Arabidopsis thaliana: one gene and its partners. The protein of the gene in region 1 interacts with the protein of each later gene in a pairwise test. Each region holds a gene or a part of one and is shown on either strand. Other genes may lie near its edges.

Region 1 (9,165 bases):
ATATCTGATTAAACATTTTGGAATTTAAGCTGTTCAGTTTGCATATTTGTTTTTCTTTTACTTCTTGATCATAATAAGACTCTTATTGCTGCGAGCATAAATGTTTCCTTTGTGTTTCACTGACATTTCTTTTCTTCTCTATGGCTTTTTCCAGGTAGTAATGTTCTGCAAGTATGTTGCACACCGAATCCGAACATTACAACAAGCAAAATTGGTCAAAAGTTCCTTCCTAGGCAAGAAGGAGATCTAACCATAATGTACGATGTGACCAGAGCATATCAGTCGAGTTACTCAGCGCAGGTCACTATCGAGAATCATAACCTGCTTGGTCGGCTTGACAATTGGGATCTAAGTTTTATGTGGATGAAAGATGAGTTTCTCTTCTCAACCAAAGGAGCTTATCCAAGTGTTGTCGATTCGTCGGATTGCATCACTGGTCCTCAAGCAAAATACTATAAAGATCTTGACTTCTCTAATGTCATGAGCTGTGCAAGAAGGCCACACATCATAGACCTACCCCTGACTAAGTATAACGATACCAATGTCGGGCGTATCCCATACTGCTGCAGAAATGGAACTATTCTGCCACGGTCCATGGATCCAGAGAAGTCTAAATCGGTTTTTCAAATAGAAGTTTACAAAATGCCTCCTGATCTCAACATCTCCTCTATAACACCTCCCCAGAGCTGGCAGATTAAAGGTAACCTTAACCCGGATTACAAATGTGGCCCTCCTCTTCGTGTCAGCTCAAGCCAGTTCCCTGATACAAGCGGTTTGCCTTCAAACAAGAGTGCATTTGCTAGCTGGCAAGTCGTCTGCAACATCACTCAACCAACTCCTCCTAAATGCTGCGTCTCATTCTCTTCTTATTTCAATGACTCAGTAATCCCGTGTAAGACCTGCGCTTGTGGAGGTTGCTCTAGCGACAGAGTGGCGCGTACTTGCAGCACAACTTCTCCAGCTCTTCCTCTTCCATATCAGGCTCTTCTAATTCCATTTGACAACCGAACCAAACTTACCAACGCTTGGGCAGTGTTAAAAAACCGGAAAGTCCCGGACCCATTACCTTGTGGAGATAACTGTGGAGTCAGCATAAACTGGCACCTAGCTACAGACTATCGAGGCGGATGGACTGCTCGAGTCACACTCTTCAACTGGGGTGATACTGATTTCGTGGATTGGTTTACCGCGGTTGAACTGAGAAATGCTGCACCCGGTTTTCAGAAAGCGTACTCGTTTAACGGAAGTATCATCGCGGTCAACGGGAAGAACACAACTGTTTTAATGGAAGGGCTCCCTGGACTGAACTATCTCCTTGCAGAGAAAGACGGAAAAAACCCGAGTGAAGACTTTCGGATACCCGGGAAACAGCAGTCGGTTATCTCCTTCACCAAGAAACTGACTCCTGGAATCAAAGTTGGTTCCAAAGATGGGTTTCCCACCAAAGTACTCTTCAACGGCCAGGAATGTTCACTCCCTTCTGTACTACCCACGAGCAACAGTCACAGGAAACATGTATCCACCTTTCTTCTCATCCTGACACCATTTTTGGCTCTACTGTTTCTTCGGATTTAAAAGTTCCAGTGAAGGACTTTCCTCATTAGCCAGAAAATATACAGTTTTCTTGATTCTTTCTAACCAGATTTGATGCAGAATTACTTCTACTACTAGTGGTGCTTTGTGCACCGTGTGATTCTTGAATTTCGTATGATCAGATTTTAGTAATCAGTATGTATACATACAAATATTGAACAGACAAATCCCTTTGTGTTTTGATCTTGAATTGCTTTGATTTCACGTTGTGGCGTTGTACTAAATTAAGTTTGTTCGAATTATTCTAAGCATTTACTCGAAATACATACTTACAAAACCCTAAACAGCCTCACTACATAAATGAGGAACAAAAGAATCTCCAAGGATATTAACCCCTAACATGAATAATTATTTCTTATATAATCTGCCATTTAAAATTTCATGCAGACTACATATATATCAAACAAGTTTTAGTAGATCGTCGTGTAAAAATGATACAGTACAGATCCGGGTAGTCCCTCCGGTTTATCGGTTTTTTTATCCAATCAAACCGGAATGTTATCGATGGAGTATGCGTCAAAGTCGAATTCGCCATCAACCGGTGCAATCCCTTCCTGTATATCAATAATTCAAGATTGTGTTTTTCAACTTTTTTGGTTCACTGATTTTTTTTGTTATTTAGTTGTAATTTGCATTATTATGAAAAAGACATGCGACCAATGGTGAGAAAGCGTCTGAGAGTTGTTATATATTTGATTTTGAACGCAAACATGTACGTTGACGGATCAGATTATGCTTCTATATAAGTTTGACAAAAAAAAAAAAATCAAATCAAACCTGCTTAAGAAGTGCGCTCATAAGATCTTCTTGATTACTATACTGCTCGTGAAACGCCATTGTTGCTGTATCCGTAGCCACTCTCTCTGATTTCACCCTCACTGAACCACCGTTTCCGTCTGCATAAACCTGATGGTGCTGTACCATTCCCGATGGTGGCTGCTGGTGGTTTCGGCCATGCTCGGTGGCTGCAACTGTCGTGTTGTGTCTTGACATGGACGAAGAAGAGTAGGCTTCTGAAGCGGAAAACGCAGCGGATTCTGAGTCCTGATGTGAGTCAAAGGCTATTCCAATATTCCTCAGATCCCAATCATTCTGTCTGGTGGTGAACATGTCGTAGCTCGGCGTAGTGAAACCCGCTTCGGAGCTGTTAACCTCTTCCTGGTAAGAAGTGGCTTTCCGAACCGGTACTGATATCCCTGGTGCACTTGCCAGCGGGAAACTGTTCACGGGAAGTTCTGGTTGGAAGTTGTTATAAGGCATCGAGCTTGATGAGTGTTGTGTTGTGAGATTAGTGTAACTTGTCGGTAACACTCTGCTGCTCTCGGGGATATTGTTCCTTCCAGAGAAACCACTTCTCTCGGAAATGCGGTTTGATAACATCGGCTGCCTGATGGATGATTGCGAAGAGGTTAGCATAGGCGGTGGTCCCCGAGGCAAAGACTGCTGACCCGCTAGAGGCATCAGCATTCCGTTGTTTTGAACACTATTTCCAGCTCGAACAGCAGCAATCTGTTGTTGAATACTCATTCGATTACCCATAGGAAGCTGCTGTTGTAAACCCGTGGGGACACCGTGAAGTAAGTTCATCTGTGGTTGCTGTTGGGGTTGTTGCCCGTGATGCCCAAGCCCTTCTCCAAATCTTGTTTTCGTGTTGTCAAAGCTGAAGATGCTTCTCTCATCCACAATGGAGGAAACCGGCAAACCTGACTTAGAGACCATCGCAGGCCGGCCTAAACCAGCGGCTTGAAGCTGTGCAAGACTCTGTGCAGGTAACTGACCTGTGACGGCTAGTGCTTGAAGATCAAACCCATTCAATGTCGAAAGAGGTCCGAAGCTCGCATCCTGACCCGTCATAAACGAGTTGTTAAGATTGCCTTGGTGCTGCGATACCCCTCCAAGCCGTCTTAGATATATCCGGTATTTCTGCAAGTCCACATAAAGCCGCTAAGAACATCTAAGCATTTCAATGGCTCATTTTGGTATCCAGTATAAGATTTATACCTGGAGGTGACTTGCTACGTTTTCTCGGGTTAGACCAGGAACATTCATCAGCTCTAAGATCTTTTTAGGAACCGCCTCTGCGCCATAGAAGATCATTTAGACCCTGAGCATAACAATCACAAATGCAAATGTAAGAAGTTTTAGTCTTACTCTCAACGCCGAGCTGATTAACAGCAGCAACAAACTGCTGATGCAATTCAACAGACCAGACGACACGCGGTTTCTTCAAATTCGACGCATCTTCGTCCTTATCATCTCCTTGCTCTTCTCCTTCCTCGTCTTTCCTCTTCCGTGAACTGCTCCTCCAATTGTTACCTTCGTTAACCGAGGATGAGTTATCATCCACCGCATCCTCTCCACCAGAAACAGCTGCACCACCACCACCTCCTCTATGTTGCTGCTGCTGTCTCTCGCCAGTCTCCTCAATGCTCCCAGAATGTTCCGGTACACTCCATTCACTTCTCCTCTTCCTAACTACATGCTGCCATATGTTCTTAAGTGCCTCCATACGTACAGGCTTGATAAGGTAATCAACCGCACCGTGCGTTACTCCCTTTAGAACCACACTCTTTGAATCATCCGCAGACATCACTAGTTAAACGAATACAAGATCAATAATCTATAAAAAAAGATTCAAACTTAGATGAGATTTGAGGGAGTAAAAAGAACGTTACTGATAACAGGTAAGTCCATCTCTAGACCAACATGCTCAAGAAGCTTGAAACCGTCCATGTCAGGCATATGAACATCACTGATTACTATATCGAATCCATGTTTGTTCTTCCGGAGCAGAGACAATGCCATCTCTGCTCTGTTGCATTTCGTTACTGCATGTCATAACAACCAAAATGTTTCATATCTTCAAAGATAAAAGAAAAAAACAGAGATTTGAATTCTGACAACAAGGACCTCATGAATTGACATTTAACCAAAACTCAAGTCAAAGATCAAAGACTCAAGATTTGAATCCATTTGAAACCTCCCCTAACTTATTATATACAATGGATCTACATGTGAATCTATCAGTAGATCAAAATGGTGTGATCTAAATGAAGAAGCTCGAGATTAATATGTGAATCTTAAAAAGTAACCAAAATGGTTTCTATTAAAGGGGGAGCAAAGTTAGTCAACCACCGATATGAAAACCATAATTATTCCTCAAAATAACATAATTTTCGAGAATGGACCACAAATAAACCCATCATTGGAGCAAGAGACCATGAACTCTCTTTCTCTCTCTCTCTCTCTCTCTCTCGTGAGATTAAACGAACAAAAAAAAAAAAAAAAAAATGAAAAGAGAAGATCTTGGTTTTTGGATACGAACCTTCGTAAAGACAAGTCCTAAGCATCCTCTCTAAGATCATGAGACAAGTTGGGTCATCGTCAACGACAAGAACTCGAAGACCAGAAGGAAACATCTCGACGACGGTCTCACCACCACCTCCTTGATTTCTACCGGAGCTGGACCCACCAGCCGATCCGAGTCCTCTTCCGTGACTCGGATTCATCATACCTCTCTCTATGTAGCTCGAACCCAAGAAACAAAAAAAGAAAAGCAGAAAAGAATATATACCCAGAAAGAAAGAGGGGAAATTGACGCGAGTTTTATTCGATTTAAAATTGAATATTATGAGAGAATACGAAATTGTTGGAGATAGAAGTGAATCTCTTCTGGGTAACCAAAAAAAAGAAGAAGAGAGAGATGGTGAGATGAGACTTAGGGAGTTGAAGAAGACAAGGCTTGTCTCACCTTAGAGCTCTTTTTCTCTGTTTTTTTATTTATTCACAGAGTAAAGCTCTCTTAATTTTTCCTATTCAATTTTTGTAACATTTAGATGCAGAAGAAAAAAAAAATGTGGTTTTTATATACTCAGTCATATATATTTTTTATTTACATATATGTAGAAGCTGACATGTCCTTTATTTTCATCATTCTCTCTACATTTAGACTATTGGTTTTATTAAATTTCATTTAGATCCACTCTCTTTTTTATTCTCAATTTCTTACAAGTTAGTTTTGTATATTATATGTACTATTGTTCTATATTCTGTTTTATTTTTCTATTTAGAAGAACATTTTGGATGTTGCTTTGAGCTCAAATTCTGGGTTATTTTGTGAAGTAGTGAAATATAGGGGTTGAATCATCAATGAAAGAAATATAGGGTAAGGAAATTTATATAATTGGGAAGAAAGTGGGACCAAAGACCCTTGATTCGTGGATCCAGCTCATGCATGAAAAAATTAATTAACTCGTCATATGTAAAGTTTGCAAACTCAAACCTTAATAGATTTTCATTAGTATTATTGTTGTTAGTTTCCTAATTTTTTGTTTTAATTTCCATTTTCTACCAATTTCGAATAGGAATTTGCCTTAAACAAAAGAGCAGCTGCATATATATATAAAAAATTCTTAGTTTTGATATGCCTATAATTTATTTACTAAACTACCCTTTGAATTTATGTAATTGAGAAACAATGCCTCCTGTCTATTGGACCTACATGTATTAAATTAAACGGCAAAATAAAAATATAATCATATCATTAAATTAAACAAAATAATACGTCTACGCACATTCAAGCATATGATTAAGGTACCAAAATACACCTAAGCATTTCCCATCATCACCTACATCTTTAGCTAAGATATAGTACATATACTTTTATCAACAAAAAAAAACCAGATATATGATGTATACATAACATAAGATTACTCGATGCCTTTTTTGGTGCAAATTAAACATATAACCTTCCAAATTTTTTAGTATGTATTTATTTCAAGTCGTGTGTAACTATGATTAGTAAGAATATAACTTATATAGTATACTTTTCATGTTTTAATCAAAAACAACTTGTAGTTCTAGGAAATAAATTGTATTAAATGGAAAATAGAAAAAAATTGTACGTTTGATTGTTGAAAACATATATATATATATATATATATATATATATGTATGTATAATTACAAGTTTACAACAACAGTAGTCAGTATATGGTGCAAAAAAAAACATGTGCGCTTCTTCTCTTAAAACGTTGGATACTAAATAAACAAAGAAATAATGCAAATGGTTCATCTGAATGATTAGTAACATCATATGCTACCCACCAATCGCCCTATTCCCCCGAAAGTATATTTTTAATAATGTATAGGATAACAAATCATATTTGACTATTCGATTGCTCTACGACATATTTATAAACACATACAAACCAGTAACTTATTTATAAATGTGTAAATTTGTCAACTTCAATGTAAACTATATCTAAGTTATCCAAGTTCAGTGTATACTTTGCTTAAATAGTTGTTTAGCACCGCCGACATGTCTTATCTTTTTCAAATTAACGATAGTTTTAAGTGTGACATACGACTTGTTTCATATGTGCATCGATACCTAATTTCTTACATTAATCAATGTTATCAAGTAAAATTCACTACTTGTAGTATTTAGAAGGAAAACTCAACAATACGAATATTAAATCAATTAAGTATTTCTTTAATTTTTATGAACTATCAACTATAGTGTATTTTCTTTTGGAAATACTGTACATGTGTATATTTCGAAGAATAAAATGAAAACATTTAATGATAAGAAAAAAACAAATAAATCACGTTGCTGAGAAGCTTTCCCTATTGCGACACGTGTCCACATGAAATGGATAAGATCACTCGAACCATTTGCATCGACCTCTCCATCTATCGTTGTCTTCATTTGTTAAATTTTCCCTATTTCAACAATCATTTTAAAAACATTAATAGAAATAAAAAAAACGAAACTATTCAACATTCCAACTTGTAATTGTTATCGTCAATAGCCACTTATTACCACGAGAGCTTGAATTTGAGTTTAAGAAAGATATACTCATAATTTCATGTTTAGTAGCTTTTTTTTCTAATAGCTTTCTTTACTTTTCCTTACATACGATATAAAACGTAAAAACAAAAAATTGATGATTAATATAACATAAATTTAACTGCGCCAAAAGCTATAATATAGAGAAGGTCCCAAGAAAGTAACCCGCTGAAACCGTATATTCTCTGTAAAAAGTTTTTACTCTTACGATGAGCTTTTTGAGTTTTTAATTTATATTTTTCACTTTATTGTGCTTAGACAGACATGAATTACAGATCCTCCTATTTTATTTATATTTCAAGTACCAACTATAGGTCCATGTCACCAAAAAAGGTTTTGTAGAACACAAATGTTTCAGCTTTTTATGCAGAACCAACAACTTTAATATGACTAACATTTGCACACCTATGGAGCGTTATATTAACATTAAGTGAGTAAGCTACTGAAAACTTGTTGAAGTTCTTGATGGAAAATGCACTCAGCAAATTGGATAATCAAAATACTTAGATCCAAAACATACAAATGCGTTAAAACAAAAGTATAACTTGATATGCTCATATACGAAGGACCATTTTATCCAAAATTCTCGAATGTGAATATTTCAGAATCGATTGCATGTGATGAAGACAAATTTTCATATTTTGCATTGGAAGTATCTGTTTAAGCAACTAAATGGTATAATGGAGTTTTTTTTTTCTTTTTCTAGATAATGCTTTAAGGTCAAATATTAATTCACGCGGGCCAATAGAATATTGGTTCTTTTTCGTCCTAATTATTAATCCATATGGATTTTGAAAAGTAAATTTGTATAACCAAATTTAATTAACGCCTGCCAATAGAAATGTGGAGTTATGTACATAACTTATATATTCATCTACTTGATGGGTGTCCTATCATGTGCCCATAACTTTTGGTAGGAAGTTGTAACTTGTATTACTAAACACCAATAGTTAGAAACTGAACAACTTTTTTCATTTATTTCAAACTAATCGTTTTGCAAGTGTTGTATACACTGAGTTACAATGAAAAAATTACAATAAAAAAACAAACAAAATCACACTAAAATAATAATGAACGTTACATTGATGCAATGATTTAGAGTATAAATTGGATTTGATAAGCCTTACATAGGAGTTAAAATGTGAAATTTTATATTAATTACACTAAACATCTGGGGAAAAAATATAGCCCGATGACAGAACCATTCCTAAAACTCTTTTTGTTGTTTGTTAACTAATGTTTTAGATTTCTACTAATTATCGTTATGTCAAACAGACAACTATATGTCTATTCAGTTAAAAAAGAGAACTGTTGAGTTTGAGTGTAAGCAAAAGAATAGAGTGGGAGAACAATGGGGTCGACGGCTAAAAAGATGAGCCACGTGTCAGTTCAGGAGAAGAAAAGAGTATGGCAGCCATAGTGTTACGACGAACTAACCGCAGCAACATTGCGACACGACTCCTTTGCTTTTTCTTCTTGCCAACCTCTCGACAAGATGGGACTAATATTGGTTTCATACGATATGTAATTCAAAAACTGTTATTTCACTTACAAATGTTTCTTTAAAAAAATACAAAAGTTGCGGTCCTATACAAAGAAAAAATGTTGTCACTAAATTTTAATCTCCCAAAGAAAGTGAAAACGGACATGAAAATGTACAATTACTAATCAGTAGATGGTAATTAATGTTTTGACAAAAAAAAATATAGACGGTAATTAATC
Region 2 (7,270 bases), on another chromosome or scaffold:
TTTTCCTATATTATTTCATTTGAATGGAAATAAAGATATCAGTTGCGTAAATGACACGATCTGGATTTGGGGATGTTGTGGACCCTAGAACGAGTCCAAGTTGCATGGGACATGCAGTTTCCCAAACTTTGTAATAGTATCATTTCATGTTTTTTGTTTGTCATTTTCTTATCAAAAAATAAAAAGTTTATGGTTAGAACCATGTTTTGACTCCTACCATAGAGAGTAAAGGATGGCTTAATAAACCCGCGCATGGTACGTTATGCATGCTCAAAAAATGTTTGGCAAAAGAGATGATCGGTCCGAAAAATGAGATTGTCGACATTCGGATAAGGGCCTAATGGTAGATGTTTTCTGAAATCTACTTAGGGAGTGACGTGATTCACTTGTCTTTAGAGCTATTTATGTCGATTGTAATGTAGACATACCGTTTCACTCGTTGGTCTCATCTAGTATTGATTCTTTTAACATGTCATTTAACTGCCATAGGTTGATTGGCAACCAGAAAAATTATCTTCGTATATAGTATATTTAAGTCAACTTTACAGAAACTATTATAATTTCGGAGGGGACAAACTTAGGATTGGATACGTCATTCTTGTTAATATAATACATATACGATCATTAATATTTTGCTATGATAATATTGTATTTGTATGAAACTAACAAGCTTTAATAAAAATCGTTGTTCTTCTGGATGGTTTAGCCAATCTCTCTAATACAATTATTCAATGGCCGACAAACAATAGAGAAAGGATACACAAAAAAAAAATTAAAATAAGAGGATGGAAGGAACCACAAATATTGAAGTTTTCAATTTTTAGGCTGTTTCTTTTCTAATTCCTTTTTCACGTTTTCTTTTGCGCTTAAACAATATTGAATTGTTAATTATGAGTATTGTATAGTACACTGGTCACTTTTTGGATAAGCCGTTCACATGGAATCAAATGAAACTAAAATATCAAATTGATTAGAAAGATGTTTAAAATATGACAGTTGTCTTAGAACAATCTCATGCTGATAGAATAAACACATTGATATTATAAAACGGAAATAAATATATACAATATGCACCTTTGAATTAATTATGCGTACTTCGAACAAATGGTTAGCTTAGTATCTACTATATTGTTTTAAATGTCTAATTTGACATACATGAATGTAACAAAACAACGAAGTCAGTGAAAGTGACAAGGTGTTGCCTCTTTTAAAGTCGCTTTACCTCCTATGGTTTCGTCTTATCGTCTTGTGCGTTGGGCCACTTGTGCCAATTATCATTTTCTTAATGATCTGGTGAATTTAGAACCAAGTTTGTACTTTCATATCTTTAACAAATTATGCAACCATTTTTAAGACCTTATAAAAAGTGACCAAAAAAGGTACTTATGTGATAAAAAAAAAAAAAACAGATGGTGCGATTCGTCGTTAACTGCAATCTACATAGCAACGTTTCAAACCATCGAAACATCGTCTCTAGACGCTTTGGTTTAAACTAACCAGTCTTTAACTCCCAAGTCCCAACTATTTGAATAACTCAACCATTAATTTTATCCGTGTATAATACGATAGGCTATAGTATTAGAATATAATAATCGTTTGGTTGGCTATTGGTTAACATGTCTTCGTGAACATTACCGCACATGGGATCACATGGACCTTTGTATATTTCGAATATTTTAACTATACAATACTCTTGACTTTGTTTATATATATTTTAAAAAATGTTGGAATATAGCATAGATTTAGATCCCTACATGCATTATTCATTTTTTTTTTATATCCACTACTCGGGCTAATTTAATACTACTATTTTTATATAATCTGTCTCTACAACGTGGTAGAACAGCTTCATTAATACGTTACTTGAAGATTCACTAATTATTTATACATGTACACTTCAATAATTACGGCAAAAAGGTAACGTTAATTCCACGTCGAGCATCTTAATATTACTAGCTATTAGTCACATAGATAACTTTTCCTTCATTCGTAAAGTAACCCGTAAAAATTACGATGCTTAACGTGAAACGGTGAAATATGAATTAATTATTTATCCAACATATAATCCGATAGATGTCATTTTCGTGTCAGTACACATTTAGTCTACGATATAACCAAAAAAAGAAAGACATAAAGAACGATTTTTTAATAAACAAAATAGATAGTCGAAAATAGATTAATTAACAAGACTTTGATTTAGCTAACTTGATTGCTTGCAAAACTGGTCTTAGATCTAGAAATCCAATGACCATCACATCATTCAACATGTCCCAATTGGTACACCGTCTCCATCATATAAACCAAAACCCGCACATTAATCCCATTAACCGAACGGTACTCTCTCCGGACTTCTGTTAACTTCTCCTATCAAAGTTACGTTTATAGAAGAAATTCATGTATACATCGAAAAACAAAATGTCTTAAAAGCAAAAGAATTCAAACAACATTGAACTTTTCCTATTGACGAAAAGTCAAAACTTTTACTTTTCTAGTCTTCTTAACCAATTATCTCTTGTTGGAATCGTAAATAGGTTAATAAAATAAATACATATCTCTATAATTTAAAATGGAAAAAAATATCACCAGTTTACTATTTTTTTTGATTTAAATTATAAACTTTATACTTAGGATTATGTTGATTTCCAATTAAATCATTAATTTTTCTTGACTAAACCAATTGAGATACTGATTTTTTTTTTCAGCGCCATCAATTGATTTAGACACGAGAGATTACTTCGAATTCGAAAAAAATAGAAAATCCGAAGTAGAGGAGAAAATCCGTATAAAAAGGTAGAAAAATTTGAAATCGATTTTAGAGATCTAGGGTTTGTGGTTTGGAAAATTTCTAATAATGTGTATTAACTGGATTAGTCAACGAGAGTTCGTAATTAAATTGAAAATCAATATAAAATTAAGGATTTAAATCACTAGGTCAAAAGTTCATGTTCTAAAACCAACAAAAATGGTAAACTAGTGCTGATTTAAATGATATTTTTACCAATTGAAAATACACTTTCCTTTTTTATTGTTCTAGAAGACTTATCCCTCTATAAAGTAGCCACACTCTTCTGTCTTCTCTCATCACCTCATTCATATCTCTCTCAACCTGAACATTTTCATTTTTTCTAAATCAAGAACTTCAAATCTTGAAACTTTCTAAAAAGATGGAGCTTATTCCTGATCTTCCCGAAACTGTAGCCTACGAGTGTCTCCTACGCTCCTCCTACAAGCAATTCCCTCTTATGGCCTCTGTTTGCAAACTCTGGCAGCGAGAAATCAGCCTCTCTGATTTTTTCCGACACCGGAAAGCTTCAGGACATAGTCAAGAGCTTGTTGTCTTGTCTCAAGCTCGGGTCGACCCGGTTAAAGAACTCGTATCGGGTAATAAAACCATCCCCACCCCCGTGTACCGAATCTCGGTTCTTGAACTTGGTACCGGTCTAAGGAGCGAGCTGCCTCCGGTTCCAGGTCATTCCAACGGGTTGCCTCTGTTCTGCAGATTAGTCTCTGTCGGGTCGGATCTTGTTGTATTGTGCGGGCTTGACCCGGTTACATGGCGTACCTCTGATTCGGTCTTCGTTTTCAGCTTCTTGACCTCCACGTGGCGCGTCGGGAAGAGCATGCCAGGTGGACCGCGTTCCTTCTTTGCCTGCGCTTCGGATTCTCAACGGAACGTCTTTGTGGCTGGAGGACACGACGAAGACAAGAACGCGATGATGTCAGCTCTGGTGTATGACGTGGCAGAAGACAGATGGGCTTTCTTGCCGGATATGGGCCGTGAGCGAGACGAATGCACAGCTATTTTCCACGCTGGCAAATTCCATGTCATCGGTGGTTACTCCACGGAGGAACAAGGGCAATTTAGTAAAACTGCTGAATCGTTCGACGTCACCACATGGCGGTGGAGTCCACAAGGAGAAGAGTTTCTCTCTTCGGAGATGACTATGTGGCCTCCGATTTGTGCTGCCGGTGAAAACGGAGATTTATATGCTTGTTGTCGCCGTGATCTGATGATGATGAAAGATGACACGTGGTATAAAGTTGGGAATCTACCTGCTGACGTGTGCAATGTATCTTACGTGGCGATAAGGAGGTCTGGAAACCTGGTTGTGATCGGTTCGGCTCGGTACGGCGAACCAAGTGTAGGGTATAATTGGGATATGAGCAATTCTCGATGGTTAAAACTGGAAACACATGATAAATATGAAGGCCACGTTCAAGCTGGTTGCTTCTTGGAGATATAAAAAAACTTTAGAAAAGGTTCCGAATCTTTTGTACGTCGTCCTTGCGAAATGACGGTAAATTTGGTCGGTTGATTTTGTCAAGTGTGACTGTATAAATATTATATTGTTATAGATAAATTTGTTAGCTTGAATGTAAAAAAATTATTGTCGAGTGATTTTATAGTTTTTAATCTTATTTTTTAAGTTGTTGTGTGATGTTACTAAAGTTAGTGGTAGATTTTATATTTGGGTTGCCTAAATTTTCAGCCATGTACTATTTGGAATCTCAACTTTCCTACTTAAACTTTTAGCCACTTGAAAAACCACCATAAACAATTTTAATCTCGATAAAACTATATGTACTTTCGGATTTGTTCTTAAAACTACGCCTCCAATTGAACCGACCAGTTAACCGTTAATTATACATCTGGTTTGACTTATCCATAATTTAACCGAAATTAATTCGATTTAACTCTATTTTAGCCTAATTTTGACCTAAATGTAAATAAATTGCCTTATTAAGAAGTAAAAGTGTTTTTATTAATTTTTATTTGTGATAAAAAATTAAAAATATTAAGTTATAACTTAATTTTAGCGAAAATTAATATGACAAAATATACCTCAAATTATATTTTGAGCTACATTTTGTTATAGAATTTTGATAATATACAAGCATATACATTTTCTTTTTGGCAATCATTTATATTTTTTTATAAATTTAAAGCTATGTCTTTTTTTTAAACAAAATATTCATTTTTCTTGAAATCATAATATATGACCTTTGAACTTTATATATGTAATGAAATTCAAAATATATGCCAAATTAATTTTTATATATATCCGTAAACACCACAATCAAAGTATATATTATGGTATTTATAAATTCATTTTTCTTTATAGATTCAGTTTTCTTTTTATATATTCAAGATGAGTTATATATATATATATGGTTATGGTGTTTTTAAAAAGAAAATGTCCTTTGAATTATTAAATTTAGAGTATATACCAAATACATTTATATATATAACACCATTTTATTTATAAAAAGAATTTATTGTCTATTTTGTTATATTATTTTGCGGTATATTTTTTTATTACCAAAATATATACTAAAATTTTATTATATAATTTTGTGTGGTATATTTGTTATTTTATTATTTTGGTAAAATTAATTAATTAATTTTTAAGTTTTTATCAAAAATAAATAAAAATAAATAAAGTATTTTTCTTCTAGAGAATATATTTTTTGGGTCTAAATTGGGTTAAAATAGAGTCGAAATCGAATTAAGTTCGGTTAAATTTCGGGTAAGTCAAACCGGATGTATAATTATCGGTTAACTGGTCGGTTCAATTGGAGGTGTAGTTTTAAGAACAAATCCGAAAGTACATGTAGTTTTATCGAGATTAAAATTGTTTATAGTAATTTTTCAAGTGGCTAAAAGTTTATGGTGGAAAATTGAGATTCCAACTACTATAGGGTTGAAAATTCAGGCAACCCTTTATACTTTACAATTTAATGTTAGTCCTAATAAGCCCAACTAAAGTACACTTACTCTATTGATCTAACGAAGCTTACAAGGACAAGAGTGTCGATACGTTATGTTAGTCCCATTTCGTGTTAGAATTGAAAATTTAACATTCGTGTCATTTCGCCAACAATCTCGAAAGAATCCCAAAGTGCAGTTGCCGAGATAGAGCGTATTTGAAGACTCGGGTTATAAATTTTTTGGAAACATGGGCTAAGCTAAGCCAAGCCCAATATTCCAAAATATTAGTTTTTTAAAAAACACTAAGAAAACCAAACCAGCAAAGTCTTAGTTCATCTCTAATTTTCTTTCCTCATCACAACGACGCAACTATAAATAACCAATAAGTTGTGGGCTTGTGGCTTTAGTTCATCTCTAATTTTTAGGGCTTCTGTCTTCCTCGTCAAGTTATTCAGATTTGCTCTTCAAGATGTATCTTTAACATGCGAAACTAAAGAAATCGAAATTTATCAGAAAGTTGGAAAAATATATACATTTACCCGAGTAGATTATCCTAACAAAGATTTTTTTTTATAAAAAAAACTAAAGATAATAATTGAGTTTTGTCGTTATGAAACCCTAAAAAATTATCATCCTAGAGATCCGGATGAAACCCTAACAAAATAAGCTTATAATAAATAAAATTAACAAATTGAGTTTTGTCATGATGAAACAGTAAATAGAGAGAAAAAGATATATCCTGATGGAGAATCGAGAAGTAAACTGGATGAAGAGTGGTTGCAAGCGTAGAATAGAGCTTCCAGAGGAATTATTGGCAGAGATAGTGGCGAGATTACCTTTTATAAGTATAACGAGGTTCAAGTCCGTGTGCAAAGGATGGAGATCATTAATAGAATCAACGTATTTCCGTCATCTATTTGTGTTTGCTCACCGAAACTCTTCATCGTCGTGGTCACTCGTGTGCGGGACATTTGGTTGGTCAGTCGAGGAAATGGCGGGGTTCTACGGATGCAAGAGATATGGTCTTCCCCGTAGGCTAGGTTCATACATCCCGCCTCATGGCTTGGTGGATAAACATAAGATCGTAGCCTGCACGGACGGATTGGTTTTGCTTCAAACCGTAACGAAAAGAGAGACGTTCAGTGTGGGTAGCCCGGTGTTACGGCAGTGGGTTCAGCTCCCACCTCACCCTTGGAAAGGGATCAGTTCATCAGTTTTGGCGATAGGTCTAGTCACCCGAGTAGAAGACGGTGTCGTTATGGAGTATAAGGTGGTTTGTATGGATATTGATTACCGTTGGGAAGTTGAGTCCCTTATCTTGGAGATATATTCGTCACTGACGGGAACGTGGACTCGCAAAAAAGTCCGTTGTCCTAGTCTCATCGTTTCTTTATCCTATAAAAGATGCTTGAGTTTGAAGAAGATGCTTCACTGGCTTGACACCCATTATCGTTGTCGGAGTAGCGTGGGAGCCATTGTAGCATATGATGTCTATGCTGATGATGATGAGCAGCAGTTTCGCATTATCCCTTTTCCTGATCAAAAGGCTTGCTTTAGAAG
Region 3 (7,602 bases), on another chromosome or scaffold:
AATGAGTCTAAACATGTCAAAATTAAACTACGTCTTCACTTTGTCTTTAACGTACCTTTCTTTGATGAAAAAATGAAAAAAAAGTTATAAAAAAAATAACGTACCCTTCTTTAACCGCAAACTGTTTTTGGACTTTTGAACCCATTTCCGAAATTTCAGGGCTTCTTTTCTTCAAAGTTACGTAGTACGTACTAATAATAAGCCATCGTCACGACTCACGTGGTTACTAAATAAGATATGCTTATAAAAGGATTCAATATATTCAATGGCTTTGGCACGTTCTGTCCTCGCTTGACTTAAGCCATGTTAATTTGACCGTTGTGTTGTCGTTGGTCTGTTCGACGCTATCAATATAAAAAAATGTGTTTTATTAGCTAAATTCAGTTGATTTATCATACTCTGTGCTTTCCCTCTCGCTCACTTTATATATATCGAAGAGTATTGAATCATCTTGATTTTCTTATTTCATTACCATTCAACATTAAATCATGTTGTCAAAATTTATTTCCAAAAAATGACATGAAACCTCGAGCAAACCCTTAAAAAAAAAAAGGTAGATAAGTTGATGTTAGTATATGATGATGAGGATGAATGAAAATAGATATTCCGCGCACTTATAAAAAAAGAAATACAATTACTGGCAGTAGAAGATACGAAGTCCACATCAGCTACCGGATAACTATCATAATGGATATGGAAAAGGACGTAAAAATAAATACCAAAGGAAACTTCATGAGCTTATCCTGTCTGTATGTACGAGAGCTGTTTTATTTGATGTCGACCGCATGAATATCCAAATGATCTATTGCATGTCTTCGTAACAATTTGATCCCTACCATTAATTAATATGCAAAATAATAATGCATATATGATGAAGACGTCGAGTGCCTAATAGAAAGATGCGGCGAGTCAAACTATCTTTTGAGACATATATACTGTTTAGCTATATATCTTTTCAAATGAACATTTTCCTATGTAATTGGCCAGCGTTTTCTGCGGTGCCAAAGCTCATATTCTCTCGATCATCTAACTGTAAACCTTATTACTTAGCTCTGGCAGATGTTATTATCTTTGCCGGTTTGCTTCGAGGCTTTGTGCTTCTAATTTAATCAAGTGTCGACATAATTGGAAAAAAAAACGAGTAAAATGCAAATAAATAACGATCACATATATAAAGAAGTAATTAAACTCTTTTGGCTAGTTATTTCGTGTGTTCTTCGTTTTTTTCCAATTTGCTTGGCGAATTTTCTTGTGAAGAAAATACTTGTTAAGAGATTTGAATAATTGAACGCGACCAAAGAAGAGTATGAGAATTGAAAATATCGACACGAACATTGATGAAGTGGGTCCAACACTCCCAGTACCAGTCTATTCGGGCTATTCCTATCTACGAAGAATCGGATTGCTTCCGTCGTTTATTGTTTAGATTTATCAAAGAGCCAGCCACCCGACGAATCACGACGACTCTTCTTCCCCCCTTTAAGGATGTTGACACCGTGTCGTTTTGTCACCTTATAGAGTTATAGTCATTCAGACGCCGTGCCGTTTTATCAGTTAGAGTTATTTTCTTCATGTTGAACCTTTTTTTGTCAGCCCGTTTTATCCCACGTTGAAGTTTCAATTAGCTTATTTTAAAAAATATTAGATCGGAGTATCTTTTGTCTAATTAACCAAAACTCCAAGTTACTACATTTATATGCAAATACATGAATGGGTCATAGTAATCACAAAACTATTGTTTTAATAAACCAAATATATGCGTTAAAGATGTTTACAGCTTTATACATATGGCGGACACTAGAACTAGTCCAACCTGCATGGAACATGCTACTAATTCCCTAAATATTGTATTATTCCGTATTCAATTTTGTACAGCTACGAAAAATAGAGTATTGTACATAAATGTCCATACGTTACAGATTAAATTAGTAAGCAAAAATGCTTTGATTAACGAGTATACGCTTTTGAGTACGGAGACAACATTTCGTTTCTTTATGTCACACGCGTTAAGAAGTTTAATAAAGATCATATATAATTACGACAAATATCTGTATATATTGTAGCTATATTTATAAAAACATATAACTTTGGTCATCGGTAATAGTTTAAAGATGTCGAGTATCAATACAGATTTAAATATGGCCGACCAAAGATAGACACACACATACAGACAACAACAAGCCAAATAAGAATCAAATAAATTTTTGTCAAAAAAAAGGGAAATTCTACAAGTGAAATTAGAGAAATTATCTAGAAGGATTTTAGAGGAAAGACTCCAAGGCATTAGTCTTTGAGCTGGATTTGGATTTCATTTTAATAAAACATAAATTAATCTTTAAACGCTATTATGTGCTTGGATTATGTACCACATAATGCGAAGGAAACATCTTTGTAGTTTTGCGTTCTTCATATAATAATATTTTGCCGTCGTGTATGTGTAGTATACATATATTCATCACTTTAGTATACAAGTTGCCACAAAGTTCTGTTGTTTATAATAAAACCAAAAAAAAAGAACAAGTTCTGTTGTTTATAATAAAACCAAAAAAAAAAAAAACAAGTTCTGTTGTTTGGAATTAGGAGATCGATTTAAATTTTTACAAAGCAAAAGGGTGTGTGTGGTCCGATTAATATTTTAGTATATGAGAAAAAGAAAGGGTGTGATCTAAATTATAGATTCAGAAGGTCCATTCAAAAAGTACAGTCTTTTATGTGTAGGTTTTAAGTTTTTTCATTATTCTTAAACGAACAAATGATAGATTAATTTTATTCTGTTTTTTGTTGTGCGCACTAGTAAGTGTATACTCTATAGCATTAGATAGAAAACAGAGTAACATGTCAAAACAACATCCAAAATCTAAAATCAGTATTAGTCGAAAGGCCTAATTCGATATTCGGTAGTATATTTTACCGTCTATGTTTAGATATATAATCTGTTGTTGACTGGAATTCGAATGCTAAATTACTAAACCTGACCAGAAAAATATCAGGAGAAAATGAACTTGGATATGACATCCATCAACTTGTCCCAATTGGTCCAAAGTCTCCATCTTTAAATACAAGACACAACCATTAACCGTTTTTGCCCATACTAACTCAAATTCCGTTATCTTCATTTTATTTGATTTAAACTATAAAATATACAACACAAAAATTATATTAAAAAAAGAAAGAAACGATGAATGAATCAACAAGTTTTCTAGAAACACTTATCTTCAAATATCTATAAAGCGGCACACTCTCCTCTTTCCCATCATCATCATCATCTTCTTCAACCTTGTCTCGATCCAAAATTTCATCTTTTACCAAAACTATTACAATATCCCTCACTCTACTTGTAAAGCTTCAATCTTCTTCACTTCTCAACAAACAGATAAACAAAAAGCTTCAATCTTTGATACTTTCTCGATGGAACTTATCCCCAATCTTCCCGACGACGTTGCTCGCGAGTGTCTCCTTCGCTCCTCCTACCAACAGTTCCCTGTCATCGCCTCCGTTTGCAGAGCCTGGAACCGTGAAGTCTCTCTCTCTCAGTTTTTACATCAGCGAAAAGCTTCACGCCATAGCCAAGAGCTTCTTATTCTGTCTCAGGCTCGTGTCGACCCCGCTGGATCCGGAAAGATCATCGCTACGCCTGAATACCGGATCTCTGTTCTCGAATCCGGGTCGGGTCTTTGGACGGAGCTTCCTCCGATTCCTGGTCAAACCAAAGGACTTCCTCTGTTCTGCAGATTGGTTTCCGTTGGATCCGATCTTATTGTCTTGGGTGGGCTTGACCCGATTACGTGGCAGGCCCATGATTCGGTATTCGTCTTCAGTTTTCTCACTTCCAAATGGCGCGTGGGGGCAACCATGCCAGGTGTACGGAGGTCCTTCTTCGGATGCGCTTCGGATTCGGATCGGACGGTGCTGGTTGCGGGTGGACACAACGAAGAGAAATGTGCGCTTACGTCAGCTATGGTGTATGACGTGTCAGAAGACAAGTGGACGTTTTTGCCGGATATGGCGCGGGAACGAGACGAGTGCAAAGCGGTATTCCATGCTGGCAGATTCCACGTCATCGGTGGATATGCCACTGAGGAACAGGGGCAGTTTAGTAAAACAGCCGAATCGTTCGATGTGTCTACGTGGGAGTGGGGTCCACTTACGGAGGACTTCCTCGACGACACCGGCGATACCGTTAGCCCTCCGACCTGCGTCGCCGGTGGGGATTTGTACGCGTGCTGGGGTGGCGATGTGATGATGTTTCTAAATGACAAGTGGCAAAAGGTGGGCCAGATCCCTGCTGATGTGTACAATGTTACTTACGTAGCGGTGAGGCCCGGGATGCTGATTGTGATCGGCAACGGGAAGGCGTTGGCTGGATACGGTGAAGCCACCGTAGGGTATATATGTGATTTAAGTAGCTCACGATGGGTAAAATTGGAAACACACGGTGGTCATGTTCAAGCTGGCTGCTTCTTGGAGGTCTAATGGAAAACCTATTCATCTTTGGAGTTTGAACCTAAACCGCAACAAACCAATGGGTAGTCTCGTGTGTCAATCTACAAATCTTTTCATGAACAACAAAATAAAGAAATATTGTATTTATTCAGTGTCACTTTACCAAATATTTATGTTCTCTATACAAAACTTCAAAAGGAAGATTTGAACTTTTAGGTTCTCTATACAAAACTGATCTAATTATATAATTGCAAGCAAACAAACTTTCGAAACATGTGTCGACACAAAACTTTTAAAGTTTATTAAAGGAGCCTTGATTTTGGTATCCAAGAACTTTAATGGGTTTCATAGACTAGTCCTATTAATTTTTTTACTCGAGGCCCAAATAGACCAGATTTTGAATGATGAACTTTTGATCTTTAAATGGGCTTTTGGATGGGACTTGAGACAAATGGATGGCTAGGATTAGAGCAGAGGTTTGAAATATGGATTACACCTGAGGGGCAGAGTTCGAAGATAGACTGACAACAGACTTTAAAGAGAGATGCAGAGACACCCTCTGTTACAAGTAACATCTATTTAATATCGATACAAAAGAAAAGTGCATTATATTTTCAGCAGGAGAATTAAATCGTAGCCGTTGAATCTGCAGAGGAAATAGGCGCCGCTTCGTTCTGCGTCACAGCTTTGTCATTAAATCCAACGGCTGGCAGCTTTATGACACACACAAACAATTGAATTGGAGCAGTGTTAAACTGTACAGAGAATTTAGCTTCTTTAGTTTCTTTCTTAACCAAAAAGTCAACACATTTTTGTATCTATTATAAGTCGGCCTATTTAGCCTATCTTTTCATTCATCTCCATACACACATCATCAACTTTATTGTAAGGAAAAATTTAAGATACGAAGACGATTACGCTAGCTTGATCGTTGTAGACTTGTCAAAAAGTACTACTTTCCAAAAGAAAATTGAGCATTGTGGTTATATTATCTTTTTTCAAGAAATTTAGAAACTAGATAGCTTGTGTTTTGGATCCCACGTATTAATGGTTAGATAAAAGATCTAAAAAGACATTGATTTATATGCTCGTGAAATGATGTCTTCCTTGACTAATGTAAGTAATTGCCGCGTATAGAATAAGATTTTTTTGTATTCCAAAAGGAAGTGGAGTACACGCGCCGAAATAGTTGACCCTTGAAGAAAAAGTTTAATGAAGGATGAAAAAAGTCTAGGTTAAATGGAAAACGGATATTAACTAGCCCTAACAAAAATAGTAAAAAGCAACAGCAAATATCACGTGTCCCCAACTTACGATTAAATAGCCTAAAACTCAAATTATACGTTCTAAATTAAGACTAAGAGTCTCGATGATTATCTTCATGAATCCGGTGATTAGTGCCGTTAGGAGAACGAAGAGGAAACAGGGGCAAAAGCTCCGGTGCCGGCTCGGAGCCGCTTCTCGGACTCGGAAGGAAGTAGAACCCTTTTTCCGCTATGGCTTTTTGCTCTTCCTTGTCCGGTTGCGCGTGGTGTTCCTCACGCGCTGAATGTGGACTCACGCGCGCCCAGAATGGGTCTAGGTGAGAGACGGGAGAGACGAGGAATCCTCGGTGGAAATGGCTGAAAGCGTCGTTAGGGTTTGTGATGTTGTTGACCTTAAGCTCCATTTTCTTTGATGATTGACGCCGTTCGTGGAGTTTGAACGCTGGCTTTTTGGGAGTTAATGGAAGCTTCTGGTGTGCGGCTGAGACGGCGGAGAAGGATGAGGAGGAGATATCGGGTGGTGCTCCAGTGAGCTTTTGGACGATGTTACGGAAATTAGAGGGGTCTGCTTGAACGAACATGGTGTTTGGCTCGGTGGCATAGCTCGGCGGCTGCTGGTGACTCATGGTGGTTGAGATGACTAAAGAGAAGAAGAGAAGAGAGAAGAGAAGCTTGTTTTTGTTTTTGTCTAAAAGACATTCGTCTGCCTACTGCACATATATTTAAAGAAGACCCTATTGTGTGTTTGTGTGTTTTTATTGACATTTTTTGCCAACATATTAAATTTAGTAATTAACCAAAGTGGCTATTATTGTTTGACTTTGCACGTCTAGAATCTTTAGTTGATAAGTTGACTAAAAAATAAATTATATGTTTAGTTGCTAATAATTCACTAATATTTGTGATTTGAATACGGATTAAAACTGTTTCTAGATGATTATAATGTCAAAGTCAACGCCCAAGCTAACCATACATTATTAGAAGTGTTGCCAATTCAATACCTGGGAACATCATATATAGATAATTCGTGATAATGAAACATTTAGTCGGTTCATTGTTGACTCCGCAAGCAACTTAATTGATATTTTCAAAGCATTCCACTAGTCTATAATATCCCACTATATATTTTTCTGTACACAAACGTTATATACTTTAGACGTGGTTGACGAATTGATATGTGATACAAAAGAAAACCTAATGTTATAACCTTTGTAGGCAACTGCGTAATGATTGATCCCTGGCCGTGATCATATGATAGTATGTAATAAGCGTAATTACCACACGTCCATGATTTTATGAATTTTCGAATTTTGAATTTCCCAAAGAAATAAATGCTGTGACGAGAAGGGCATCAGAACTTTCCCCTACAAAATTTATGGAGGTTCAAATTTTGAAAAGTAAAAAATTAAATGACTTCAAATCCGTACATTGTTGAGTAATTATAATAATATAAGCGATAAAGTTTTTGGTGTTGTTTGTTAGAGATTGTGATTACTTTTAAAAAAGTACTTCTTCTTACGTTACATTTTATATTGTTAATATGAGAGAATACATCATGCATCCGATTTAATTAGTGGAGGACAAAGATAAATAGAAATGTTCAACATATAAAACAATCTGAAAAAGAAAAGAGAACAAAATTAATAGGCTTTTAGTTTTAGGTTGCGTGAAGGAAGTAGGCAAAAAGCGAAGATTTTTTCCCTCCTTTTTCTTCACACTTCACGTTTTTTCTTTGTTCCTTAGCTTTGCTTCCATTTGACTCTATGAACTTTTTTTCTTGTGTTTCCATTGAAACCTTCTTTATTAGTATTCCTTTTAGGCTTGAGTAAAATACAGAACAACTCTTTCTTCATTTCCATTTGTCCACTTTTCTTCTTAGATTCTCGCTGTTTCA
Region 4 (7,118 bases), 200 kb from region 1:
TTAGTCGTTATCGGCCGATTTATTTGTTATTTAACAATTTGTTTAGGATTATAGCTTTTTCGGATTGGGAGGAATCATGTTCATAATATCGCGGAGGTGTAATTATTCACGAAAGTGATAGAGGATAAAAATAAATTTGTTTAGCATATACTTTATTTAACGGGTGATAGATGATTGAAGTTACATCTTTCAAATAATTGGATATTATTGAATTTATATTAATAGTTGAGAAGAATGTTTTTAATTGAGTAATCAACACAATTAAAAGAATTAAAAATCTGTTTGTGTGTCGACATTTGAACTTTTAAGGAGTCATCTTCAATCACGAACCAGTCAACATTGTGCCCTTTATACGAAATACTTAGTTCAATTAGGTGCTAATAGCTACTTCTAATAACTTTAGTAGCACAAATTCTGGCATCATGTATATCCAACAAAAAATCTCAAGATAACTTTCCGAAGAATATCTATCATTTAAAAATAAACTTTCTCTAAACATGTATTAATCTTCCAATCATAGGAATTAATAGTGGAACAAGCTAGCCTTCTAAAGTATTACAAGACTGATTTTGTCTTGAATATGAATATAAGTTATATTACAAACTAGCCTATAGTCTAGCAATTTCCTAATAATATATGAAAACTAAATCTCTACATATTTTCTCCCTTCGAATTAATTAGTCATTTGTACCAGAGGCAGAGATGATAGTTACGAGTTCATAATAATTAAGAGTTAAGACTATATATAGCCTTAAAGCTTAGAAATATACAAAAGATCATAAGAACAAAAAATAATTTTCTTTTATAAAATTAAGATCACATATATATATAAAGGAATAATTGGATTGTGTAACACATATACAACAAAATTTAGATAAATGTCATGAATTTTGTCCTCTTTTATTAGAATTTTATCTTGTATAATACTAAAAGGTAAACATAATAACATTTGATTTAAATACAAAATTGGGGTTTATCATGTAAAACCAACCTCACAAGTTTTGGAATGAATTGTTTTGTTTCTTCTAATTTTGTGGTATTACATATTTGTTATTAGAGGGGAGGTCGGAATTAAGGAGAATAATCGAGATGAGACAGCAAGCAATAATAAAACTTAGATTCTAAACCCACTTCCACCGAAAATATGTAGTAGACAAGTCCTTTATGTGAGATTGGTTTGGTGGGCGGAGGAATAAATAAAGCTGATTTTTTTTTGTATATGATCAATCTCTCTCTCTTCTGTAATTCGATCTCACGATGCTTGTCTGAGAGAGAAAGAGATATAGAAAGGAACAAATTATGCTGTAATGATAAAAAGATCTTTTATGTCTTTGTGTCAATCATTTAGATCACACTTGTTATGTGCTCTTCAGTTTTTCCTTTTTAGATACTTGTTCCTTGTTTCCAATAACAGAAATTTATGGTTTATTTTTTACTCGTTGGATATATGTATACCTTATTCTCTCTCTCTCTCTTTTTGGTTTCCTACTTCTTTCTTTTTTTGTTACAATATAGAAGTAGGAAACACACGCATCCGCACAAGTACTAGCCTTTCCTTGGCACACAACACCCTCTCACCTCCACACATTAATGGAAGAAACTTGGAAAAGATTTGCATCTAATTTTTCAATGTTTGTTGCAGCGGTCAAAGAGAAAGAAAACACATCAAACAGAAAACCCCAATAGAAATCTATTTATTTCTGGTCTTGATCATGATACTAACCTTGACTATGTTTTTAATATAAAAATGTCGTTTAATGTTTATCACAAGATATAATCCTTACTTAGTAATTGAATTCCGGACCCCAAACTAAAATACTTCGAATTAGTATTGCTTTCTGTTGTTGAAACAAAAGATAAGCAATAATAGTGTTTGCTAGTGTGCTAGATTCCAACAATTTTTTCTTCCAAAAGTACAACTTTTTTTTGCCCATTTCGTAAATTCATATGTACATATATAGTTGAATGTTGTGGGTGTACGTAATTGGTACCATTAAAATCAGGAAATCACAACCTTAAAAATAACAAAAAAAAAAAGAAAAAAGAAAAGACAATGATATTATAGAAAACTTTGTGAAAACATGAATTAAATTCAGTAATTAATCAAGACGGAAATGGTCTGTTCAGAATATTTTTCTTGAACTGTATACTTTTTCAATCTATAACTTTCTTTTTCACTTTCAGGAAAATTCGTGTCCACATACATTTTACTAGTATATATTTGCCTCATTTCCAAAGGTGTGTTTCGTATAGTATCAACGTTTAGCTTTTAGGTTCTATATTCGAAATTTTACATGTTTCTATGATGTACGTATATATATAATATTAGTCGTATTCCCATTCGTGAGATCCTTTGATTACTTATTAATTAAGATGCATTTCAGTTATATTTTTGGGCAATAGATCAATCATCCACAGTAGTTTAAGTTTCATAATGGACCATACTATTAATTAAACAATCAACATTGAGGAATTCTCTAATTGAAATCTCTTATTCAAAACTTTAACATAAACACTATCTTATATATATAAAAGATTACTATACATTCAAACTTATATATCAACACACATATATGATCATTTGATAACACCTACCATTTGTGTTATACATATATTTTATAGAGAAGTTATAGAAAATTATACTGAGTATACATCTATGTGTCATCGAAATAAGCTGATAATAACGAATACACGTTTTCTTTTTATGTCTGGAGTAGAATACAGCATTCATGCCCTTACGTTGCAGGTTCCCATCATTTTACAAATATTCTCTTCTCTTTTCTACTTTCTCTTTTTTGATGTAATACGATCTATTTATTTATTCTATATTTCACTATATATATCTCAGATGTCCAACGTTTCAGTATTGCATTGCCACTCGAATTACCTAAGATAAAAACGAATTATCACTTTGATTTTTCGCACTTATAGTTAAATCTATTCTCAAAATTTAAACAAACATGCAGAGGCAAGTGGCACTCATCAAGCAGTCCCTCTTTGATCAGGTTTTGGTCGTTTGTTTCTTCGTATTTTCGTAATATAACTTCGTACGTCGTACCACTTATATATGAATTTCTTCATATAATTTAGAAAATGACTAATATAGGAAAATGCATGCAGGGATATCTCGACGAACAATTCATGGAGTTAGAAGAGCTCCAAGATGATGCAAACCCTAATTTTGTTGAAGAAGTTTCCGCATTATACTTCAAAGATTCAGCTCGGTTAATCAATAACATTGACCAAGCTTTGTGAGTATTATTTTGTTTTCTATTATATATATATTTTTTTTTTTTCAGTTTTCTAATCATTTTTACAATGCAGGGAAAGAGGATCATTTGATTTCAATCGGCTGGATAGTTACATGCATCAGTTTAAGGGAAGCAGCACGAGGTAATTTCCCCCCTTAGTTTTTGACTATTCTAATTACGCCTTCAAGAAATAATTTTACTTAAAGAAATGCGAATACTTAAATGTTTATAAGATAAAAGAATGTAACGCAAAAGTACATTAAAATTACTTCCATTCTCATTCAGGATTCAATGACAGAATCTACTTTAACCAGAAATAATTAGATTTTATGATCGTTAGTTATACTGACAAATGTTGCATTTCTTTTTTTTGTAGCATTGGGGCAAGTAAAGTGAAAGCTGAATGCACTACGTTTAGGGAATACTGCAGAGCTGGAAATGCGGAAGGGTACTTTCGTCTTTATACTTATATACCTTCATGCTTCTCGTTTTTAACAGAAAACTAAGTAACGGGGTCAAAATGAAAATAAGTATAGTTTAGATGGCTAAAATTGCTGCAATTAATCCGCTGAACCTTGAACTTTTACTTTACTTCATTTTCGACCCCCTAATTAGTTTTCTTCGCTTTTTCTTACTTGCAGATGCTTGAGGACTTTCCAGCAACTGAAGAAAGAACACTCAACGTTGAGAAAGAAGCTTGAACATTATTTCCAGGCGAGCCAATAATCAATTATGCTTAATAATTTACATAATTAGAATGTGATTAGAAGTTATCATCAATCACTTTTGATATAGTATTTGCTGAAGTGAAATTTTTTGTAATGAACAGTTGGCAAGGCAGGCGGGGCCTAAGGAGACAGCACGTAGGCCCAAGTAAGAGAGAAAGAGAGAGAGACAGAGATAAATGAGGAATCGTCGTCGAATTTTGTAGCAAAACTATATAATAAATAGTTCCTCTTTATTTTTATATATTTCGATGTACGTTATAAAGAAGGTTTTGGACTTTTATATTATGTCCGTTAATAAACGGTCCAAATGTCTCTATGTTTTTCCCCTTATATCGCCAAATTTTCCCTTGGGAGTTTTATAGCTACGATTACCTCGTAACATATGGCTTCCTCTAATAACGGAATACAGAAAAGAGTGGACCAAAAAAATGCATTTTTTCGATTCTATGATGAATGCATTACCTTGTTTACAAAAGGAAAAAAAAAAGAAACTAAGCTTTACATTATTCGGTTTGTTTCCAGGAACCGTGTCCAAATCCTAAATATTCTTACCTATTTTTATATCATTATGTTAATATTTGTCTCTACTAGTACTGATTAATAAATATTTAAAAAAGAAAAAAAAAACCAAAATATTCTTAGGTAAAAGTCTAAAATAACATTATCATTATGTTACTATTTGTCTCTACTAAAACTAATTATTAAAAAAAAAAGAATGCCATGGCTTAGATGCAAACTATTCTTAGCTAAAAGTCTAAAATAATAACATTATCATAAACAATTAATATTACACTTTTCCATCTAATTTCTCTTACATGCCCTATTTTTCAAACGATGTCGTTTAAGAATATCACATAGACCTTCTATTTCATGAAAAAACTAACTCACCAATGCAAATAAATAAATCAAATGTTTGTTTGTGGATAAAGTAAAACGTTTTCTTTCAATGGCCCAGCATTTACTAAAATTTATTTCAAGTTCTTCCACGTAAAGTCTACACTACATACACTCATACAGGCAGTGTAACGCTGATTCGTAGAGCTGGAGAGTATCACAACAATAAATTTCTCTTCCGAAAGAAAACAGCCTAATATTAGGGAGATATTTACATACTCTATAAGATGTTCTTTAATCTCTTATATATATTACATATGAAAGAATTAATTGTTTAATTATTATCCAAAGCGACGTGAAACCACTCTCATTTATTAGCCCTAGCTATATCTCACAACCTCCATCTTCCTTACTTTAAAAACACAGACCAGATCCTATTTATAGCATCCATGTGCGCCATTGAAAGGTAAATTTATTTAATAAAGTTTACCTATAATATCAAATTATGCAAAACACAGGCTGGTTCAGTTTTTTCCACGAATCAAAAATGGTTGGAGAAATATTGAATAAGAGAGAGAGAGAGAGAGAGAGAGATAGAGTTTCAGAGTTGACACAACATTGAAGTAAACTAAACTCCTAACCTCTTTATCTATGTGTATATATAAAACTCAAAAGTACATATAATCTTCACCATTCACACATAGTCACATACCAAAGCAAAAACATGGATCGTTGCACGTCGTCGTTTTTGCTTCTCACATTGGTCTCTACCTTGTCCATTCTCCAAATCTCCTTTGCTCAACTTGTTCCAGCAATCATGACATTCGGTGACTCTGTAGTTGATGTCGGCAACAACAACTATCTTCCGACCCTTTTCAGAGCTGATTATCCTCCTTATGGCCGTGATTTCGCTAACCACAAAGCCACCGGTCGTTTCTGCAACGGCAAATTAGCCACTGATATAACTGGTAAAAGGTTTTACTTGTTACTCAAGTTATATTTTTAAGTTTGTTTGACACTGAAGTCTTTGTGTTTGTTTTTGTTACAGCTGAGACTTTAGGCTTCACTAAGTACCCACCAGCTTATCTAAGTCCTGAAGCTTCTGGTAAGAATCTTCTCATTGGTGCTAATTTCGCTTCTGCAGCTTCAGGTTATGATGACAAAGCTGCTCTTCTCAATGTAAGTAGTGACGGTTCTTTGTTCTGATACATTTCTTCTTTGATCTGTTTCTTTTTTTTGTTTTGGTTCTGATCTTAGTTCTTTTTTTGGCAGCACGCGATCCCGTTGTATCAGCAAGTAGAGTATTTCAAGGAATACAAGAGCAAGCTAATAAAAATTGCAGGAAGCAAAAAAGCTGATTCGATCATAAAGGGAGCAATCTGTCTCTTAAGTGCAGGAAGCAGTGATTTTGTTCAAAACTACTATGTGAATCCTCTGCTTTACAAAGTTTACACTGTTGATGCATACGGATCTTTCCTTATCGATAACTTCTCTACATTTATCAAGGTAAAGAATTTTCCTTGGTTATCCTCTGTTCTGAATAGAGAAAAAGAAAGATGAGACATTTTGAGTTTTTGATTGACTGTTGCAGCAAGTGTATGCGGTTGGAGCAAGGAAGATCGGTGTGACATCTCTGCCTCCAACAGGATGTCTTCCCGCTGCAAGAACCCTTTTCGGTTTCCATGAAAAAGGCTGTGTTTCAAGACTCAACACAGATGCTCAAAACTTTAACAAGAAGCTTAACGCTGCTGCTTCAAAGCTTCAGAAGCAATATTCCGATCTTAAGATTGTTGTCTTCGACATCTACTCTCCACTTTATGATCTTGTTCAGAACCCTTCCAAATCCGGTAAGTCCTCAAAATGGACTGATATATATAGTTTGTTATAACATTTATTGGTGCTGATCTGCTTTAGATAATCCATGACACATTCATCTTTTTGTCTATAACAGGATTCACGGAAGCAACCAAAGGATGTTGTGGAACAGGAACAGTCGAGACAACTTCACTCTTGTGCAACCCGAAATCGTTTGGGACATGCTCCAATGCTACTCAGTATGTGTTCTGGGACAGTGTGCATCCTTCTGAAGCTGCCAATGAGATTCTTGCCACTGCCCTAATTGGACAGGGCTTTTCTCTCCTCGGTTGATCTCACGTATTTTTCTTATATTCTCTTTTCAAATCGCTGTTTCTATCACACATTGAGTCATACATTTGTTTTTCTTTGAATTATGTATCAAAGCATCACTGTTTTACTAAAAATGTATTGAAACTTATTACAAGTACTAAACCAAGAGTTGAGAACA

The links.
Region 2: the proteins of RR1 (region 1) and AT1G15670 interact in a protein complementation assay, tested with the Arabidopsis thaliana proteins (one study listed by BioGRID).
Region 3: the proteins of RR1 (region 1) and AT1G80440 interact in a two-hybrid assay, tested with the Arabidopsis thaliana proteins (one study listed by BioGRID).
Region 4: the proteins of RR1 (region 1) and AHP4 interact in a two-hybrid assay, tested with the Arabidopsis thaliana proteins (one study listed by BioGRID).

What each region holds. Positions count from the first base shown.
Region 1 is NC_003074.8:5,752,053-5,761,217, reverse strand, and holds RR1 (response regulator 1), read right to left. Parts: upstream 5,398-9,165; 5' UTR 5,106-5,397; coding exon 4,919-5,105; intron 4,863-4,918; exon of another isoform or gene 4,504-4,862; intron 4,422-4,503; coding exon 4,269-4,421; intron 4,186-4,268; coding exon 3,745-4,185; intron 3,672-3,744; coding exon 3,595-3,671; intron 3,517-3,594; coding exon 2,371-3,516; coding exon of another isoform or gene 2,365-2,370; exon of another isoform or gene 2,148-2,364; coding exon 2,079-2,147; 3' UTR 1,775-2,078; downstream 1-1,774. Other genes in the region: COBL8 (COBRA-like protein 8 precursor), read left to right, coding at 155-1,575.
Region 2 is NC_003070.9:5,386,955-5,394,224, forward strand, and holds AT1G15670 (Galactose oxidase/kelch repeat superfamily protein), read left to right. Parts: upstream 1-2,997; 5' UTR 2,998-3,164; coding exon 3,165-4,244; 3' UTR 4,245-4,718; downstream 4,719-7,270. Other genes in the region: AT1G15680 (F-box family protein), read left to right, coding at 6,453-7,270.
Region 3 is NC_003070.9:30,238,355-30,245,956, forward strand, and holds AT1G80440 (Galactose oxidase/kelch repeat superfamily protein), read left to right. Parts: upstream 1-3,097; 5' UTR 3,098-3,408; coding exon 3,409-4,473; 3' UTR 4,474-4,822; downstream 4,823-7,602. Other genes in the region: AT1G80450 (VQ motif-containing protein), read right to left, coding at 5,801-6,334.
Region 4 is NC_003074.8:5,551,391-5,558,508, forward strand, and holds AHP4 (HPT phosphotransmitter 4), read left to right. Parts: upstream 1-2,806; 5' UTR 2,807-2,960; coding exon 2,961-3,005; intron 3,006-3,083; exon of another isoform or gene 3,084-3,093; coding exon of another isoform or gene 3,094-3,120; coding exon 3,121-3,251; intron 3,252-3,324; coding exon 3,325-3,393; intron 3,394-3,627; coding exon 3,628-3,699; intron 3,700-3,892; coding exon 3,893-3,965; coding exon of another isoform or gene 3,966-3,977; exon of another isoform or gene 3,978-4,003; intron 4,004-4,080; coding exon 4,081-4,128; 3' UTR 4,129-4,399; downstream 4,400-7,118. Other genes in the region: AT3G16370 (GDSL-like Lipase/Acylhydrolase superfamily protein), read left to right, coding at 5,538-5,781, 5,862-5,992, 6,086-6,319, 6,405-6,660, 6,765-6,961. UniProt on the Arabidopsis thaliana protein: Functions as a two-component phosphorelay mediator between cytokinin sensor histidine kinases and response regulators (B-type ARRs). Plays an important role in propagating cytokinin signal transduction through the multistep His-to-Asp phosphorelay.